Linked DNA regions of Astyanax mexicanus. The protein of the gene in region 2 interacts with the protein of the main gene of each other region in a pairwise test. Links are inferred from orthologs where the notes say so. Each region holds a gene or a part of one and is shown on either strand. Other genes may lie near its edges.

What was found. The genes of interacting proteins can lie anywhere in the genome.
Region 1: the proteins of thap1 (region 2) and uncharacterized protein C7orf50 homolog interact in binary tests that used the Homo sapiens proteins (3 or more experiments, as listed by UniProt). The two-hybrid records come from large-scale screens. The link is inferred for Astyanax mexicanus from reciprocal best matches to the Homo sapiens genes THAP1 and CHLSN.
Region 3: the proteins of thap1 (region 2) and acot7 interact in binary tests that used the Homo sapiens proteins (3 or more experiments, as listed by UniProt). The two-hybrid records come from large-scale screens. The link is inferred for Astyanax mexicanus from reciprocal best matches to the Homo sapiens genes THAP1 and ACOT7.

Annotation. Positions count from the first base shown.
Region 1 is NC_064413.1:15,018,979-15,026,273, reverse strand, and holds the start of uncharacterized protein C7orf50 homolog, read right to left. Parts: upstream 3,026-7,295; 5' UTR 2,876-3,025; intron 1-2,875. Other genes in the region: c6h16orf91 (protein CCSMST1), read left to right, coding at 3,346-3,428, 5,105-5,483. UniProt on the Homo sapiens protein: Hormone secreted from the intestine in response to cholesterol, where it acts to inhibit cholesterol synthesis in the liver and VLDL secretion,leading to a reduction in circulating cholesterol levels. Acts through binding to its receptor, GPR146.
Region 2 is NC_064408.1:9,974,655-9,981,771, forward strand, and holds the start of thap1 (THAP domain-containing protein 1), read left to right. Parts: upstream 1-4,116; 5' UTR 4,117-4,264; coding exon 4,265-4,335; intron 4,336-6,123; coding exon 6,124-6,319; intron 6,320-7,117. UniProt on the Homo sapiens protein: DNA-binding transcription regulator that regulates endothelial cell proliferation and G1/S cell-cycle progression.
Region 3 is NC_064419.1:18,183,719-18,191,050, reverse strand, and holds the start of acot7 (cytosolic acyl coenzyme A thioester hydrolase), read right to left. Parts: upstream 3,026-7,332; 5' UTR 2,994-3,025; coding exon 2,938-2,993; intron 1-2,937. Other genes in the region: hes2.2 (transcription factor HES-2.2), read right to left, coding at 6,989-7,281. UniProt on the Homo sapiens protein: Catalyzes the hydrolysis of acyl-CoAs into free fatty acids and coenzyme A (CoASH), regulating their respective intracellular levels.

The DNA of each region.
Region 1 (7,295 bases), on a different chromosome or scaffold from region 2:
TTTTTCTTGTCGTTGAAAATGTTGGGGAAAAACGAATGACAAATAAAATCACTATATGCATGCACATTGTATTTTTCTAAAAGATGCAAAGCCATTTTTATCTTTTAAAGAAGACCCAAACCTGAAATTGATCAAATTATTATTATAATGCAATTAATTAAACTTATTAAAATGGATCAATGATGGATCAAAAAGAATTGGAATAAAATGGTTTACATTAACTAATATTCACATTAATAAATCAATAAACCAGGGGACTCTACTTTGTTACTGGCACTCACTCCTGTTACTGGCACTCAGTCCTGTTACTTTTTATGTTATGAGTAACAGGACTGAAAGTAACAGGACTAAGTTTTTAGTATAGAATTAGTAAAAAAAAAAAAAAAAAACTAAATGGCAGCTATGCTAATAGCTTGAGGACACTAAGCAGATTCTAGTGATTTTCCCAAAATCTGTGTTTTAAAAATAAACAAATAAGATCTAAGAATTAATTCAGATAACAGGACAGAGCGTTGAGATTGACCCCTCAGTCATAGTTACAGAAAGATTAAATATACAGATACCCACCAATGCTTAAAATACAGCTCTGGAGAAAAATAAGAAACCGCTTACAAATGATGAGTTTCCCAAGTTGAAAACCTCTGGAATATATTCATGAGGAAGATGGATGATCATTATGGGAGGTAAATCCTGCCAAAAATAAAACTGAAATGAAAACACTAAAATGAAAATGCAAATGCCGTTTTGCTCTTTCTTTTCCCAAACATGTGTGAAAATATTATGACAAAATTAAAAACGGAATTAAATCACTTCATTTGCAATTTAATTTTTCACTTGAGCATGGGTCATACGTGACAAAATTAAAATTAAAATTAAAAAGGATTTTTGCCATTTCATTTTCATTGCCATTCGGCTATTTCATTGTCAAATCTAAAATGAAAAAGCTAATTATAAAAAGAAAAATCAAAGCTTCATTTTGGGCTTGCTTTTTCTCGATGAACTGCATAATAAATGACAAAACTAAAATCGAAATGCAATGGTAACGTTTTTATTTATTTTCCTTTGCAATAGGCTGCATGTCTGACAGAATTAAAATGAAAATGCAAAATGGAAAAATAAATAGCAAAGTGAGAGTTTGTGATTCAGTTTTTGGTGTGGACTGCGCTTTAAGTGTCAAAAATTTAAGGAAAACGCAAAGGAAGACTGGCGCTCCCTGCTGGTGATTTAGTTTTTTTTATACATTTCTTTTTCTTTTTCAACTTCACCAGCATGCAAATATATGTAAATTAGCAGTAGGCGGGGCTACAACTACGGATCCACCCGCGGAATCCAGACCAGCATAAAGCGCAGTCCACACCAAAAACTGAATCACAAACTCTCACTTTGCTATTTATTTTTCCATTTTGCGTTTTCATTTTAATTCTGTCAGACATGCAGCCTATTGCAAAGGAAAATAAATAAAAACGTTACCATTGCATTTCGATTTTAGTTTTCTTATTTATTATGCAGTTCATTGAGAAAAAGCAAGCCCAAAGTGAAGCTTTGATTTTTCTTTTTATAATTAGCTTTTTCATTTTAGATTTGACAATGAAATAGCCGAATGGCAATAAAAATGAAATGGCAAAAATCCTTTTTAATTTTAATTTTGTCACGTATGACCCATGCTCAAGTGAAAAATTAAATTGCAAATGAAGTGATTTAATTCCGTTTTTAATTTTGTCATAATATTTTCACACATGTTTGGGAAAAGAAAGAGCAAAACGGTATTTGCATTTTCATTTTAGTGTTTTCATTTCAGTTTTATTTTTGGCAGGATTTACCTCCCATATGATCACAAGCCATCAAGCCAAGCTGAACTGCTTGAATTTTTGCACCAGGAGTGCCATAAGGTTATCCAAAAGCAGTGTGTAAGACTAGTGGAGGAGAACATGCCAAGATGCATGAAAACTGTTATTAAACCCCAGGGTTATTCCGCCAAATATTGATTTCTGAACTCTTAAAACTTCATAAATATAAACTTGTTTACTTTGCATTATTTAAGGTCTAAAAGTTCTGCATCTTTTCTGTTTTTTTCAGCTATTTCTCATTTTCTGCAAATACATGCTCTAAATGACAACATTTTTATTAAACGCAGTGGCGTGCAGTTAATATAGTGGGTACCCCTACTGCAACACTTTAAAAAGGCTTTTTAATATGATATGACACAATATTTGTCTCATTTACCGTTGCATTTCCATTATAATTAGCTAACTATTAAACTAATCCAGCATGTGCTCTGTTTTACACTATACCAATGCGTAGCACCTTCTGCACAGCACCGAGAAGGGGTTAGACAGTCATGGCCCCGCCCCTGGAACGAAAATCATGAATCTGATTGGTTAGATTGTCCTGCGACTTTGCTAATAGACTCATTACTACTCCCATCTCAAAATCAGGAGAAGGGTCCCTGCAGACACGCGGGGGCAGAAGCAATTTTAAAAAGCTTTGATTGGTTAGAACAGCTGTCAGTCAGATAAGAGTCCTATAGCAACTGAAAAACGCAGACTAATTATTTGAATTAGTAGCTGTTTTTTTATTTTAGTTAATTTATAAAACATATGCTTATAGTTTACAATAACAATAATATATATTTCCTGATTAAATCTTATGTAATGATTTACATGCACCTATTGTCACCTCTTCTCTGAAGGGTTAGAAGGGCCTTACTGCAAACCACTGGAGAAACGTTGTCTTTAGTTTATAGAACAAAACAACAATGTTCATTTTACTCAAACATAAACCTATAAATAGCAAAATCAGAGAAACTGATTCAGAAACTGAAGTGGTCTCTTATTTTTTCCAGAGCTGTATAGTGTAACACACAGGCTATGCTTACATTTTCTGTCCTTCACGTCGCTTATCCTGGTTAATGTAATTTAAATTATTTTCATATTTAGATATGTCGCCCACAAAATAATTTAAACTACATTTAGGTTGGTTTAGAGCGACTGTCTCATGTTATTAATGGCGGCGACTGTTGCTATGGAGTTTTGCCTGTTCGGCTTGTGTAATTTGTTTTTTCTTCACTGCTCGAAAAATATAGTTCCAGCTAGTTAATTAGTTAAGCGAAATAATTAAAACAATAATCTTGTTGTTTTAAAGGCAGTCTCTGTGTTATGAAAATACCAACTTATTTTGAAACAATATGTTCGATCAGAGAGCAGTAGCTAAATTTCTTAATGCGGAACTAAAGGCCTGTGTTCAGCCGGACGCTTGTGGGCGGGGGACACACGGCGTGTTAGACAGGTTACATGACCAGGGACGGTTTCAATGTGAGACAGAGAGAGACAGAGAGAGCTGAACAGCATGGCTTCAGCGGTCTGGAGGACTTTTACTAAGATTACAGGCTTTTCTACGCGTCCTGGCAGCTCCGCACTGCAGTGTATCAGGTGAGGATTACAGCAGTCCCGAATCCTGTAGTTTAATCTATAAGTTTGGGTACTTCTCTGTTTCAGGGCTAAAAAGTGATTCTGGTTCTCTCAGTAACTGAAGGTCTTTCAGCTGATTAGTCTAATATTTACTTTCCTGATTATGTTAAATCACAAATATACATCTCTCTTATAGACTGTGCTTCATTATTTAGCCTTATACCTAGTTAAAACCTGAAAAATATAGAAATAACTCTCTTTTATGGACATTGATCACCCACACACAACTCATGTTATGTGACTAGACGTTTTAGGGTTTTTTTTTCTCCAAAGGGTCATAGTAAGAAACGTTAGCTAAAGCAGGCATTCTTAAAAAAAAAAAAAAAAAAAAAAGTTTGAATGTAAATATTGTAAAAGTCTAGCATGAATGCTGAATTTTCATAGACCTGTCTTAACCCTTCTTTTATCTTTGGGGTAAATTTGACCACATCCAATGTTTAACCCAGAAGAGCCCAAGGGGATGTACATGTATATGTCACATACCATTTTAAAAGCTGTGTAAAGTTCCCTACCGAACATATGTTCTTCATTTGAACTTATGCAGTTCCTAAATGACACATACTAAACATCCTGAGAGCATCACAGGACTGTGTGTGAATCTGTGATAATTCATCTGACCTTATTTTCAGAATGTAGGTGTGCTGGAGATAAAATGTAAATAAGCTGTTCACTAAATTTATTTGGCATTAATATTTAGGAATGTGTCTGGTATCTTCTGTGTTAATGTAAAATATTGACATTTTTTGTGATTTATTTAACACAACCATACTAGTAATACCAGAACCACTGACTCAACATACAAACATCAAATGCACAATAAACTTTACTAAATTCACACCCATCTTTAATCTTCTGAAGGTTTAAACTGCTGGAGTTGAACTTTAGTCAATTTAAGAAGAACATGAGGTTAAAGGCTTGACTTAACCCATAAGAGCCCAGAACCATGTAATATTAATGCCAATATATAATATAATATATATAATATAATATTGATGCCAAGTTTAAAATTAAATCAGATAAATTCAGCGAGCAGCTCATTCATGTTTTTGTCTTATTGTAGGAACATGACTGTAAATATTTTAAGGTTAAAAGCATGATTTAACAAATGGCACCAAAAAAGTTAAGGTCAGAATTAAGTGTTATGGATTGTAAAAGGTTTAATCAAAGTATTTGAATTGTTAAAATGGTTGGAACAGATCAGAAAAAGCAAAAAAAATACACTTTTAAAAGGAGCTTGAGGTGTTTCAATAATCCAGCACTCCTACATTCTGTAAATAAGGTGAGATGAATAAACACACTGCCTTGTGATACTCTCAGGGTTGTGTGTAGTATGTGTCACTAAGATGTTTGAGTTAAAGTGAAGGACAGAGTACTGTAATGATCTTCATGCATCTTATAAAGGGTCTGTATACGGGGATTTAGTCAACTTGAGAACAGGAGGTTAAATGCAGTTAAAAACCACTACTATAACAGCGTGTTTTGACTTGACTTAACTGAAATACGGGTTAGATTCATGAAGCACAACAAACCAAAACTAAAGGTGAATTACAAGTGTGGAAAAGAAAAGATCTTTTGCATGTATAGTTCTATTCTCCCCCTTTTAATGACCCAAAATGTAATCCCTTTTTTTCTCATAGGCCATGCACAGTGCGAGCACTGTCAGTCACTTCACACTGCTCTGCAAAATCCAAAGGATCTTCAGGTAGCAATGAGAACAATGAGGTTAATTCCGAGCCTATCAAGTTCTCCACAAGTAAAGGCAGTCACCGGACTTGGAGGGTGGAAAGATCAATGGGCAGCACACACCAGCGGCCTTGGTGGAAGGTCCTGCCATTCAGTATAATGTGTGTCAGCTTCGTGCTCTGGTGCTTTTTACGCAAAGAGTCGGACGTTGACAAAACACTGGAGAAGCAACTGTACGAACATTTACCTGGGTTACTGACAACTATGGGTATAGAGGAGGAGGATGACGAAGAGGAAAAGACACAAACAGAGGCAAAAAAGAAAGAACCCTGACAGTGGACTAAAATGAACAGTCTTAACCTCTGATATAAATGTAATTACTGTACTGCTTGGATAATGAGACTGTATGGATGGCTCTGTTGCAGCAGGCTGAGGACTGAAATACAGCTCTACATGTTGTAATGCTGGTTTTGTCTGCCGGGGAGGGGGGGTACATATCTGTTACGATGTAAAATAATGGTTGTGTAGTCTGCATTAAATGTGGTCTTAAATCTTTTGCTATACTTCTTTTGAGGGCACTGAAAGTGAATGTGTGTCAATGGTTGACGGAACTAGTTTTTACTGTTATTGTTTTTGGCCTGCATATTAGGGAAAAATGTTTGGTCTGCACACTGTTCAGCATCACCTCAATGTGTCCTTTTGCAAACCATAGGGCCTGCAGGTGCCACACTCTCGTTGCTTGATATGCTATTGCCGCATGATTTTTGAATATTGCAAACTGCAACAGTTAATGGCATTTTTCCACTAGCAGGAAGCCACATATTGCAATTTAATGCAAAAATGACATGACTAACCATGTAGGCTGTGAAGGAAAAATCTGTTCCCTTTCTGTTAAGTTTTTCCATTATATGATTATTAATGTTTGTGTGTTAATCAAATTAGTGACTTAGCAGTGATTATACAGTGCATGTAAATATTAAATCAAACTTTTCTACTGCAACAGTAACTGAGGTGTGAGTTTGGATTGGCCAAACATTTTTAGTTATTGGCCATACATAATTTGTTGGTATTTTGCAACATTGGATACATCAAGTTGTGTGGGGAGGCCTATGATCATTGCAGCAATGTGTTTGATGCATGACAGTTTGTTGTAGTTCGACCCAGCTCAATAATGCTTCTGTAGAGGAGCAGGAGCAGCGTAGGTTCAACATGAAGTGCTCATAGCTTCCAGACTAAAGAAAGTCTTTGCTGGCATTGCTTGTAAAGGTCCATGACATGATCAAAACTGATTTTGTTGTCCAAACTTAGGCCAAGGTACTTAAAATAGTCCACCACCTCTACACTTTCATATCCAATTATGACTTGGCTTGGACCAGAGCAATGGGAGTTTGCTGAGCCAATGATCATCTCCTTAGTTGGCAGCCCAACAGCATTTTTATTCAGAATATAGCTTTCCACATTGCATATAGAGCACCTGCATTTTTAAATTCCAACTGGCTTCTTTAAATAAGTTGTAGCACAGCACAAATATTTTGAAAATAATCAGACAGCTTTACAATTTCACATTTCATAAATTCATTTTTTTTTTATTTAAACATACAAGTAAATCCCAACCGGTTCATATAGAAACACTAGCCATTCTGATTTTTTTTTATGCACCTCTAGTGGCAAATTTAGGTTGCATTGAATCTGTTGGCTCTTTTAGCTTAAGCCCTGTTAGCACAACGAGCACACAAATTTAATTAGTAACTGACCCCTTTTTCCACTGATTTCATAACATTTTGGGCCAATGTTGTGCATGGTTATTAAAATCAGCTGAACTTAATGTTAAGTATATGTACTTTATGTTTGCAGCAGTTCTCTTCACTCTCCACATTAACCACACAGAATCCAGCACATGAGGTAGTGGAAAGTTTATTTACAACCAAATGGCCACAATGGAGGAGAAAAATAGAATGATAGAAATAAAATGGACATGTCCTAATATCACCATGTAGCATGCAGACTATAGCGCACAGGCAGAGGTATACCAAAGTCTAAAATACAAACTTTAAAACCCTGAGAGGAGCTCCCGGAATGTTCAGACACCACCCCCTACTGTCACGCTGAAGAACCACAAGATTCCCCTCCCCTGCCACAACTACC
Region 2 (7,117 bases):
AACGAGCTCAAATGAAAAAGGAGTAACGAGGCTATTTTTATTAAAATGTAACGAGTAGAAAGTTCAGATAATTGTGTGTAAATGTAAAAAGTAGAAGTAAAACTTTATCTGAAAATTAATTACTCTAGTAAAGCATAGATAACCAACATGTCTACTTAAGTAAGGAACCTCTGGTCAGAGCTGTTCTGGGGCACGAGGGGGACCTACGCAGTATTAGTCAATTTTACGTACAGATCTTGTGTTATACTGCCACCTTATGGCCGGATATTCAACTGTCTCTAATTAGGAAAAGCAATCTGTTATTGGAACGGTTTTAATTTATTTGAATGTCTCTTTATTTTTTAGCGCTTTTGCTTTATGCCTTTTAAGAATATTGTATTTACTTATTTTACTTGTTTAACACATTTATGTATTATTTAACTAGTTAATTAATTTGTATTAGTTTTAACCTTTAATTTTGAGTTGTATGTGTTTTTTGTATTATTTTTGGATGTATTTACTTTATTTTAGCTTTCCTGACTGATTTTACTATTTATGCTTTTTTCATATTAAGATCATTCTTAAACCTATTTATTTTATTTTTATTTAATTTTTACTTTTGTATCTGATTTGTTAATCTATTATTAATTAAATCTTAATTTTATTATCTTACATAAGCTACATTTATTTAATTTTTCTATTTTTTCTTTTGATTTTTTAACATGCTTCTTTTGCACTGTTCTTTTTGCATAAATTGACATATTTTTTAATTAAAAAAATAATTTTATGAATTGTATTATTGTATTTTTTTTTCTTTTGTCTTTCTTTTTCAATCTCTGTCTATTATAAATTCTCAACTTTATTGAAAGGTCATTAGGGTCACCTTCACTGTACTCTGATTAATAGTTGATTGATTAATTGATTAATTGATTAATTGATTGGCTGACTTTTTGGAGTCCTCACTCACTTACAAAGTGAGAAATGTAGCTGTCAAGCAGATTTTGATACTGATATCCTAGTAAAACACTTACATACATGATAAAAAATATATGTTTTAAACATAAACACTACATATTATGCAGTCTATATACCACACAACTACACACACAGCATTAAACACATAATAAAGCATTTATCTGTATGTAAAACACTCTGTGTATATAAGCTTTTTGTCTAATTAGTGCATCAGCACAGCCTACCTGCCCTGCAGATAAGTTCAGCATGACTCCAGACTGATGCTGAGGCTGAAATCCCACCAGCGGCAGCAGCAGCAGCAGGGAGATGATCAGCAGCAGCAGCAGCATGGTGGATCCTCACAGCTGTGCTGGGGGAGTAAACACACTGTGCAGCTCAGACTCTCTCTCACTGTGTTAGCACCACTACTACTCTGGGTTTCCTGCTTCAACCTGCATCTAAATTTCCTGTTTACACCACAATCACACACCCAGCCAGACACACACACATACAGCAGACAGACAGACAGAAAGCACACAGACAGACAAACAAAACAACAAGCAGAGAGACAGTAATGCACACAGACAGACAGCAATGGACACAGACAGACAGCAATGCACACAGACAGACAGAAATGAACACAGACAGGCAGACAGTAATGCACACAGACAGACAATAATGCACACAGACAAACAGACAGTAATGCACACAGACAGACATAAATACATACAGACAGACAGGCAGTAATGCACACAGACAGACAGACAGCAATGCACACAGACAGACATACATACATACAGACAGACATACAGCAATGCACACAGACAGACATAAATACATACAGACAAACATGCAGTAATGCACACAGACAGACAGACAGCAATACACACAGACAGAGAGTAATGCACACAGACAAACAGACAGCAATGAACACAGACAGACAGACATACAGCAGACAAATAGACAGACAGAAATCACACAGCATTGAACACAGACAGACAGACATGCAGGCAGACAGACAGGCATCACACAGCAATGAACAGACAGACAGACAAAACGACAAACATGCAGATAGACAGACATACACACAGACAGCAGACAGACAGCACACAGCAATAAGCACAGACAGACAGACATATACACACACAGAAAGACAGCAGACATACAGAGAGACAGCACACAGCAATGAACACAGACAGACAGCACACAGCAATGAACACAGACAGGCAGACAGTAATAAACACAGACAGACAGACAGACAGCACACAATAATGAACACAGACAAACAGCAGTAATGAACACAGATAGACAGCACACAGCATTAAACACAGTCAGACAACAGACAGACAGTAATGAACACAGACAGACAGACAGCACACATCAATGAACACAGACAGCAGACAGGCATACAGTAATGAACACAAACAGACAGCACATCATTAAACACAGACAGACAACAGACAGACAGAGTACTGAACACAGACAGCAAACAGCATTAAACACAGTCAGACAACAGAGAGACAGACAGACAGACAGACAGTAATAAACACAGACAGGCAGCAGACAGAGAGACAGCACACAGAAATGAACACAGACAGACAGACAGTAATGAACACAGACAGACAGTAATGAACACAGACAGACAGACAGCGTGTTTAATCTGAACACAGGTGTTAATGCAGCAGCTCCGTTAGGATGCTCATATGCAGCACGTGCAGTTTAACCACGTGTTTTTATATCCGCCACAGCCCACTGCGTGTGTTTAATGTGTGTTTTTAATGAAGTGAGTAAAGCAGGGTGTTAATATCTCTGTTATCAGAGTAAAATATGAATAATAAAGCTTTAACTGCTGTTCAGATCTCCTCAGAGGAATCTACGCAGCAGCGATCTGTTTCCTTATCGCATCTACGTCACCAAAACAGGGAAATCCTTCCGCGTGGGGCTGCGTCCCATTACGCAGGTAGCGTGCCTGTTCCCTACACCCTATGTAGTCACTATGTATAGTGTTTAATCTAGCGGTTTGTTATGAGATGGATGGATGGATGGATGGATGGATAGATAGATCGTATTACCTTTTTTTATTTTATTACATTTGTTACCTGACAACTCTATAAATAAAATTATATTTAGGTAAGAAATTCACAACTAGAAAACTTGAATTGTTTGCCATCAAGCTGCCGGCATTAGAGGGAGCAAAATTGGCCCGGCTCCCTCTGGGTGGGTAGATGGCGCTCTCTCCCCACATCACTCCTAGGGTGATGTCTGCAGCACAGGGCGCCTGTGAGCTGATGTACCGGAGCCGAGCCGCTGTGCTTTCCTCCGAGCGAGCTGGCTGCTCGGTGATGCTGCATCAGCAGCAGCTCGATGTATCGGAGGAAGCATGTGTTAGTCTTCACCCTCCTGGTGTGTTGGGGCATTACTAGTGATCGTCCTAGTGAGTGGGTTGGGTAATTGGCCGTGTAAATTGGGGAGAAAATGGGAAAAATTTGAAATAAAATTATAAAAAAAAAAAAAGAAAACTTGAATTGTGTTTTAATTATTGCAGACTAAATGTACATAATGTTGTTATTATTATTATTATTATTATTATTATTATTATTATTATCATTTATGTTTAACTTGTTTCATTTTATTTAACTTTTTTGTAACTAATGGCTCCATGTTTCAGGTAAGGTAGAGGGAAGGAATTTGTTTAAAGAGTTTAATGTCTTGAAATATGTAAATAAAAAAATACTGTTGAATGAATGATGTACCAAGTTTAAAATAAATAAAAATATGCATTAAAAATAGTTGTGCATGCATTATTAAAATAAACTGTTTACTTTTACATTGTTCAAGTCCACTGTGTGATTTAGTAAGTTGATGAATTTTGGAGTTCCCTATATATATAATTTGCATATTCCACCAAATCAGTGCCATTTCAGTCCCCAGGAAATAACTTAAAAATAGCATAGTGTCTTGTAGAACAGTAAAATGACCCAGTTGCTATAATGTTAAGTTTGGAATTGCTTAAAAATCCATCTGAATCCTGAATTAGTCACATCAGTTTTCACACTTTATTATGAAGGGAAATAAAAATTTAAGGGGAAAATCTATTTCTAGGGCCCTAGGTAGGGCGCATGCGCGCAGATTGGAGCGCACGGGAAAGTTGCGACGTGCTGATCACATGGACGGATGCGTTTTCCTCCATCTTGGAGCTGGTGAGGAACTGGTGAGGTACTACTGGTGAGGTTCTCCAGCAGCAAAGAGGAGGAATAAGTACAGCAGAGATCCTGAACCCCGAGCTGATCCTGCAGCCGGGCTGATCCACAGCGCAGGACCTCCAGCAGCCATGGTGCAGTCCTGCTCCGCCTACGGCTGCAAGAACAGATATCACAAAGATAAGAACGTCTCATTCCACAAGTAAGATCCTCCATCCATCCCTCTGCACTGCCGCGAGCCCTGTCTGCATAACCTGGCTCTGCTGCTTCACAGGGTGAAGCTGGGTGACCAGTCTATATTTTAGCCACTACAGGACTTTTTGTATTTGTCTTGTTCGGGTTTGATGGTTTAACTGGTCTTTAATTCATTTGATCAATCTGAACAAACCAGATTTCCAGTATGACCAGGCTTAACCATACTGGTAGACCAGGAACATTGGCATGAGTAAGTTAGGTTACCAAGAAATAGCTGGTTGACCAGTATATGGTATGTTCATGGTTGACTTTAGTGGTTTAGCTGGTCTACCAAGCTAGTTCACCAATATGACCATTCTTCCAAAATTACCCCACAACATAAAGCTGGGCAACCAGTATGGTCAACTCTTAACCAGCATGATTTTGTGTCAGTTTGATGGTGTGGCTGGTCTACAAACATGATCAACCTGACCAAGCTAGGTCACCAGTATGACAAAGCATCAGCATAGTTGGCATAACTAATTTGGGGGACCAGCATGACCAGCAAGAAAAAAAAGCTTGTTGACCAGTATATGCTATGTTTATGTTTGATTTTGATAGTTTAGCTGGTCTACAAGGATGGTCAGCCTAACCAAGCCAGGCCACCAGTATGTTTGATGGTTTAGCAGTTCTACAAGCATTTGATCCATATGCACAAACCAGATAACCAGTATGACCACATTAATCCATGCTGGTATACGAAGAACATGAGCATGACAGTTGTTGTTGGGTGACCATCATGATCAGCAAGAAATAGCTGGTCGACCAGTATATAGTATTAATGGTTTGGTCTACCAGGCTAGGTCACCAATATGACCATTCTACCAGAATGACCCAGCTGAATAACCAGCATGACCTCCAACATAAAGCTGGTTGACCAGTTGAGCTCTTGCCCAGTATGATTTTGTGTCAGTTTGATGGTGTGGATGGGCTACAAACATGATCAATCTGACCAAGCTAGGTCACCAATTTGATCATTCTATCAGAATGAGCAAGGTGGTTAACCAGCGAGACCAAACTGGATCATCAGCATGACCATCAACATGGTTAAAGCTCTTGATTTTGATGTTCAAGCTTTAGCAAGCTGGTAGACCAGCGTACTTGGCATGACAAATTTGAGTGACCAACATGAGCAGCAGCAAAAGAAAGCTGGTCGACCTGTACAGGGTATGTTTATTCTTGACTTTGGTGGTTTAGCTGGTATACAAGTTTGATCAACCTGACCAAGTGACAGGTGCATTTTAAAAAAAATTAGAATATCATAGAAAAGCTCAGTAATTCAGGTCATAAAGTGGAACGCATGTATTAAATAAATACAGTGCATGCAGTTTGATCTAGTTTAAGTGTTTATTTCTTTTATTGTTGATGATTATGGCTTACATCCAATAAAACTCAAAAATCAGTATATCAGAAAATTAGAATATTATGCAAGACATATTGCTAACAATGTAACAAAAGTTATTGGTAACAATGATATTCTATTTTTGAGATACACCTGTAGGTCACCAATATGGCCATTCAACCCAAATGACAAAACTGGTTGACGAGCATAATTAAGATGATTAACCAGTAAGACCAAGCCCATTAATTAGCCTACCCAAGCTGGTAGACCAGGATAATTGGCATGATTACTAGTATGATCAGAAAACCTTTGTCGACCTAGGGATGCACCGTGGTATGTTTATGTTTGATTTTGGTGGTTATCTGGTCTACAAGTATGGCCACCGATATGACCATGCTACGGATCTTATTCCAGGTTCCCTCTCGCGAGGCCTGACATCTGTGGGAAATGGGTGGCCGCCATGAGGAGGACCAACTTCAAGCCCACCAAATACAGCAACATCTGCTCACAGCACTTTACCAAAGACTGCTTCAAACGAGAATGCAACAACCGAGTGCTGAAGGAGAACGCCGTGCCTTCCCTTTTTAGCTTCAACAAACTGCAGATAAAGGTACAGAAACCGCACAACACACCCAGTTCCTCCTTATGTATATTATTTATATGTCCTGGGCTCTGAGTGGCTCAGTAGACTGACACTGACTCTAATGACCTCAGGATTGCAAGTTCGAATCCCTGGTAATGCTGCTTCGGCATCAGCAGCAGGAATCTGAGAGAGCACAATTTGCTATGCTCTCCACTGTGGTGGGGATAACTGTTTTAGCTAAATATGGCAGAAATTTGGGTGAAGTATTACGTAAATAGTGATAATCAGTTAAGTATCTGCTCTGTTTGGGTTTTATAGATAATTTTCATATGATGAGAATTTCACACATTAAGTTATTTACATTGTGCTGCATTTAAAATGCTTTTTTACATGCTCTGTGCAATAATACATTTTCACCAGAGAAGTCCTCAAATCCACAAACCCTACAGACTGTTGCTTTAAGGCAAAGAACTTTAGTGCTGTGCAGTATACCTGTCCGACTGGTGTATCAGAGGAGAAATTAAAACTGGTATGCAATTTTCGCATACTGTCATACCGCAAGAGATGCTGCAGTGCGTTGTGTATAATCTTTAAAGAAGCATACTGGCTCAGCTTGCTAACTACAGCTAGCCAGTTAGCATAACAAGCTAACACACTAGAGTAACTATAGCTCAACTCTGTGGAGTAAAAGTCTCTTCTCGTTCTCTCCTGTCTGGAGAGAAATAAGAACAGCACATTATCTGAGGAGCTCCTGCTGCTGTTCCTTGCACTATGAAATTGCGTTATCAATCCACAGCTTAGAGAAAATTTCCTCTCGTTCCCCAG
Region 3 (7,332 bases), on a different chromosome or scaffold from region 2:
TGTGGACTTAGATGGTTTTCCAACCAAATGCAATACACTTGGAATTATTTCTGGTTCTTTAATCTTTGTTTTGAGGCCCCCATGTTGCTACTCTTCAGATAAGATGCAAGGAGGAGAAAAACTTGCAATTGGCCACTTTAACCCTCTCATAGATGGATTAACTTGTGAATGTAGGTCAAGGGTCAATGAGCTTACCAAACTAATTTTGTGTTCCAATAATTAGTGCTAAAAGTATTCAAATTTATAAAATGTATGCACCTGTCTGTTAGGCCTTTAGGTCGTTTTAATGCAGAGTCTATAAAAAAAAGAGTCTATAAAAAAAATACCCTGGGCCTGGACAGGCAGGGTGTAGGTAAGAAGGCACCTAATTCTGCCCACAGTCTTGTTTGTGTGTGTGTGCTGCTGCCACTGTTTGTTAGTGTGTGTGATCACTGCCACATGATGTTTATGTGAAGAAAAGACTACATTCCATTGTAATGTTGTGCGATAGCTATGAAAAATGTCCTGATCTTAACTTTTGACAAAAGCAGTGTGATAATGGTTTCATTCTGAACATTGCAGCCTTTCCTGATGGCAGTCTCCAGTTACTTCTGCAATCTTCTTTTTGTCTGGCTTAATGGATATTGTGTCTCCATGGACCAGCACATTGTAGTGGTTACCTGCAGTGTTTTTATCTACAATGTGGTCACATCCGCTTGCTTGTACAAGCGCTACACAATAACACACCACCGCATCAGTGTCAATGCAATGCTGAGAATGACCCACCACACAAATAAAAGCTTCTCTGATCATTGTAGATCATGTTGAAAAGAGGATAATAAAGTAAGCAGAGAAACAGAAGGACTACAGACTTACAATTAATTAGAATTACAGCGTGTCCTATATACTCAGTGAAGTCAAAAGAAATGAATGGGCCTGTATCCTAATGTCAATGCTCCTCAGATACTTTTGATCCTCTATGATGCTAAGAACAAGTCGGTGTTTAAATGTGGTTTCATTAGACACTATTTTCCATCCCACAATGATTAGCAATTTCAGTTAAATATATCATATAGCAGATGAACACAGTGATATTTGAAAAGTAAAATTAAGTTTATAGGATTTACATAAAGTGTGCAATAATATGTTAAACAAAATGAGGCAGGTGCATAAATTTTGGGCACCCCAACAGAAAAATTAGATTAATATTTAGTAGATCCTCCTTTTGCAGAAAATAACAGCCTTTAAACACTTCCTAAAGCTTCCAAACAGAGTCTGGCTTCTGGTTGAAGGTATTTTGTCCATTCTTCTTTACAAAACATCTCCAGATCAGTCAGGTTTGATGGTTTCCGAGCATGAATAGCACACTTTATATAACACCACAGATTTTCAATAATATTCAGGTCTGGGGACTGAGATGATCATTTCAGAACGTTGTACTTGTTCCTCTGTATGAATGCTTTAGAAAATTTTGAGCAGTGTTTATGTTTACAGTCGTAGTCTTGTTGAAGTATCCAGCCCCGGCGCAACTTTAAACATTGTTCTCAAGAATCTGCTGATATTGACTGAAAAATCCATGCAACCCTCAACTTTAACAAGATTCCCAATTCCTGCACTGACCACACAGCCCCACAGCATGATGAACCACCACCAATTTTTTTACTGTGGAGAGCAGTAAAGTGTCTGTCTTGAAATCCTGTGTTTCTTTTCCACCAGGCATGCCGCCCTCCAAATAACTTAATTTTGGATTCATCAGTCCACAGCACATTATTCCAAAATGAAGCTGGCTTATCTACATGTGCTTTAGCTTTAGCATACCTTAAGCGACTCTGTTTGTGGCGTGTGCTCAGAAAAGGCTTCTTCTGCATTTCTCTCCCATACAGCCTCTCCTTGTGTAAAGTGAGCTGAATAGTTGAACGATGCACAGTGACTCCATCTGCAGTAAGATGATGATGTAGGTCTTTGGTCTTTAGAGAAGATGCAAAGAGGAGAGAAACTTGCAATTGGCCACATTTACCCTTTCTCATAATTGGATTCATTCATTATTGGAGTATGTAGGTCAAAGGTCAATGAACTTACCAAACAAATGTTGTGTTCCAATGTTTATTGCTAAAGGTATTCAAATCATTCAAATGACAAGGGAGATCACATCTATGCACCTGCCTTATTCTGTTTAAAGAATTAATGCACACTTTCTGTAAATACTATAAACTTCATTTCACTTCTCAAATATCACTGTGTTCATCTGCTATTTTATATATTTAACTGACATTGCTGAATCGAACAACCAATTATTTATAAAAAGGAAAATCATGAAAATGATCATATTTTTATACCACTGTAAAGTTTAAGTAAAGAAAATACTACATTCCATTGTAATGTTGTGCAATAGCTATGAACAATGATGCTAATCTTAACTGTTGATAGAAGCAGTGTGATAATAGTTATACAATCTGAACATTGCAGTCTTTAAAAAAAATTGTCTGATGGCAGTCTCCAGTTATTTCTGGAATGTTCTGTTGTTATGTAGTGTGCACTAAATATTAAAGTACAGCTCTGCAACTTTTACCATGAGCTACAAAGGGGAGATTATTCAAGTTCCTGACCACACCAAATATGCGAATATGCTTTTGTTGCTGAATGCAAAATCCTCACAGCAATGCTCTTTCCTGGATAATAGAGACATTTAATTTAACAAAAGCATGATACACTCCTAAAACTCCCTCAAATAAACAATGGAATAGAATGAGTCCCAATACTTTTGTCCACACAGTGTGTAAATAAGGCTGCATTCCACTGCACTGTGTTACACATGTACTCATGACTCTTGTTCTGTATGACAATAAAGGACATACTCCTTCAGTTTAAAACAGAAGTCAGGTTTAGTCCAGACTAGGGGAAAGTACTTGGGCATCGTGGCGCATCTTTAAAAACGGGTCTATTTTATTAAATACGTACCTAGATGTGATTATCGCCAGCCGGGACAGCATTTTCCCTACAGGACCCCGCAGCATTTCTAAGAAAATAACCACGTGGTCTGCTTGATGACGTCAGGCGCTCTGACGCACAACAGAGCGAGTGTTTAAATGCTTTATCATCAGTCCGCCACTAGAGGGCGACCTCACAGCGACGCTCAGGTTTTTTACCTATCCGTATTCCTGAAACTCCCGCCTCAAATCGCCTCTGCTCGCTGCCATTGGCTGGAGGGAAATGTCTAGTCAATCGTATCGAGGAGCAGACAGGGACAGTTTCTCACTTAATGTTTTTATTTGTTTATTTTTCCCCTACAATCTAAAATATAAAACATATTGTGTTGTTTTTAACACTTTTTTGTTTACTAAATAATAACGTGTTTTTCTTCATAGTTTAAATCTCTTTAGTATTAATCTACAATGCAGAATCACTGAATTTAAGAGTTTCAAACTTATATACAGCTACGTTAATTTGTTTATAAACAAAACAAGATTAGAGGATATAACATAAGTGTCAGGAAATATACAAACAATATACAACACTGCTATATACAAAACATGCAAGCGAGAATATACATTTATTAAACGAAAAATAAGAGGTCTAGAAAACTAGAGGATTAGAGGAATTATGGTAAGAAATAACAAGTGATATTGCACATAGGTTAACAGTAAATAAATAGTAGGTCTTAATAAGTGGTGATACATGTCTACATGTAAATACTGATATAGACTGTACAAATTTACCTTGTACACATTAACGATATAATATTTTTTTCCTTTGTATGTTGTGTCTATGGTAGATACTTTTAGTTTGTATACAGCTCTGGAAAAAAATAAGAGATCACTTAAAAACGATGAGTTTCTTTGATTTTACCCAATCTAAAAGCTCTGGAATATAATCAAGAGGAAGATGGATGATCACAAGCCTTTAAACCAAGCTAAACTGCTTGAATTTTCGCATCAGGCATAAAATTATCCAAAAGAAGTGTGTAAGCCTGGTGGAGGAGAACATGCCAAGATGCACGAAAACTGTGATTAAAAACAAGGGTTATTCCACCAAATATTGATTTCTGAACTCTGTGAACTTTGTGAATATGAATTCCAGAGCTGTATGTTGTCTATGTTATACCTTTATTTAGTTTGTATAAATTGTATACATATGATGAATGTACTCACCTGTATACCTGTGTTATTGTTTGCATTGCTTTTATACATTACTATTAGATGATATAATATATAAAACATCCTTGGAGATATAAAAACGTGTCACTCAGTCTTAAAATAAACATTGTTTTGGGGATAATAACGTAGCTTACACCGTCCAAACATAACAAACATCATCGTGACAGTCCTAAAAATGCACAGTCGTATCGTTTTATATGTGTTTCTCACCTAGCTAGCTAGCTAACTAGTATGCTGATGCTGTGGCTGAATAGCTAACCTTGCTGGCTGTGCCTCCATCATGCCTCAGCTCCAGCAGCATCACTCGTTGAGGTCATCACATACGACAAATACTACATGCTGCTGCTGCTGAATGGTAAAGCATGGTGTGGAAAAGCACCGGCAAACCGGCTTAAACACGCTGTTCTTCCTCCTCCTCCTTCACTGATCCTATACACGGCTGTGTTCATTACACATACTGAAATACTGATAGGTAGCTGGATAAGTAGATTGGTAGCTGGGCTGTGTGAAGCAGTGAGTGGTGTGTTTAGAGGGTTAGTTAATTTAGCTATCTGTCTGTGCTGAGCTATTAAACAGTCTACAGCCCCGCCACAATGTCCGCGCGAGCCGGGGCTTCATAATCTTACCTGCAGATCTGAATGGACGGCGAGGCGGCTGGAGAACCGGCGGCAGACATCATGTGCAGCTCGGGTCGACCCCTAGTCTACTAAACTAACTATAACTAGCAGTAATAAAGGGTGATGGAGAGAGAGAGAGAGAGAGAGACAGAGACAGGCAGAGAGACAGATAGAGAGAGAGCTGCTTCTGCAGACCAGCTAGCGAGCTCCGGCTTGGACCAAAGGGGGGGTTTAATAAGGGCGAATCGATTTACAACACACACACTCTCACACACACTAGAGCTCGAGAGGCGTCAGTACCATTGGACACCCAAGTGCTGCTGTTTGTTTGATTTTGTTTTGTTTTTTTTAAGCTCGTGATGCTTAAACCCGTTTCTTAATTCGAAATAATTCAAACTGCGTTTTTAGAACGTCTTCCTGTCTTCCCTGTGCTTCCCGCTCTGTTCTTTATCTTACAAAAAATACCGCGAAATAAAGGCTGCAGAAAACAAGGCGGGCTGAGTTACAGAGTTACAGCGCTGTTTAATATTTTAGATGTTTAAAAGTCTCCTGTTCTCGCATTTTAAACAGAGAGTACAGAGTACAGGCTAGGTTGCGAGTAGAGAGCGATGGATAGGCTAGTCTAGGTCCATAAAGTATAACTCCATCCCAGGGTTTTGTTCCAACTGCCTGGGCGCCTATAGGCAGTTGGAACAAAACCCCGGGATGGATTTGTACTTTCTGAACCTGGACTGATCTATAGGCTTAGCTAAGCTCTATGTTTTACATGGGGTTAGAACAAGGAAGGCTCTTATGTCTCTCAAACACATGCATTACCCCATGTGACCACATGGTGACAGCACAGACCACGTTTTTTTTTCGCTCTGGAAGTTGAACAATTTGAACATTTATCATACTAGTTAGTATGGAGCCCCTAAGGTGACACATTGTAAAATAAATAAATAAATAAAGCGAGGCCACGACTTAAATTATTAAATTATTAAACCTTAGGGGCTCCGTGAGTAAGCACTGTCTCTTAAACGTAAAATCGCAAAGACAGAATTCTTGTTTTGAGACTGTAAAGCCCCAAGTCATGTCTGAATCTAAAGGTTAGTAATCTAACATTACGTTTTTATTGGGCAAAATGCTAACAGCTAATGACAACACCAATTCTTATGTCTAACAGTTAATTCTTCCATTTTAATTCGTATACAGAGATCTTCATAACTACACTGCCTTCTTTTTGAGGGCATATAGTGTTTAATAAGGCATTTTTTGCGTTTCAAACACACGGACAGTTAAACTGATCTGAGATCAGGTCTATATAGTCAATGTAGTATATGTCATTTATTAGAGCAATGGGAATGACAAACTGATCCCAAATCAGAAAAAAAACTGTTCATTCGAAATATCCACAGAAATACTAATTATCAACCATTAGTCCCTTAGCAAATAATGTAGTTTGTCAGGAGACACTCGGCTGTGCATGTATTTTTTTTTTTAAATCCCCCCTTCAGACCTGGCCTTATAGCAAACAAAGGATTGTTATTTATTGTGCATTATATTGAGTAGATAATGCAAGTTACCTATCGATTGTAAATTCTAACTAAAATGTATCTAAGGATTTATAAACCCAAAAAAATATACATCCAAAGATTTTCACTCACAATTGCATTTTTTTTTTTAAATCATCATTTGCCCACACATTTCAACTAATAAAACAGGACACAATAATTGGGTAGCCCATTCCTTTTATTCAAAAGTACTGAGTGTAACATACATATACAACGATATAATCAGCACATCCCTTAAACAGAGACTTTACAATTAAACACATTGTGCTTACATACGACTAATCTGCACAAACTCAGAATACTGAAGCCAAACGTGCAAATGCCTTACATTGAACAACCCGTGGGGTTTTACATAGGCGTTCTCCACAACCCCCACCCATTTAACCCCCCCTCGAAGAGGACTAAACAGAACCGCGTTATTTACAGGCGACGCGCAAGAAGGAATCGAGAAGAAAAGCGACCGTTTCGGACGAACCCGACGAGACCGGCTAAGCAAAGTAGCACAAGTATACAATACTCAGGTGATCGTGACTCGGCTGATCCTGACAGGATCCTGAGTCAACTTATAAAACGTATTAAAACGTATAAAAGCAGGCTGGTACACACCAACCGCATCATCTTTCTTTTTTTTTGAGTCATTATGTACAGTTTTAGTTTGGAGAAAGGTGTCCCGGCTTTGGTGCAGCTACCAAGGCCTCCACACGGGGGCTCCAGAGACCGGGACGACAACGCTTGCCCGGCTTTCACTTCTGGAGACGGTAGCCTGGAGGCTGCGGAGGCGCTGCTGCGGGGTTTGGGGGGTAGCAGGAGCGCCGTGGCCGCTGCAGTGCTGGCACGCCGGGCTGGAGGAGGGCATCGCCCGCTGCATGAACTCGGTCACTCGGCGACCTGCCTCATGGTCTAGGCCGGTGCGCGGGAGTAGCGCTGAGACGCGCTGAAGGCAAGCTTTATAACCTTCTTTATAGTTATCTGCAACATCTGAGGAGAAACAAATGAAAACAGAGGGTTAGATGCTGAACAAACTGGTTA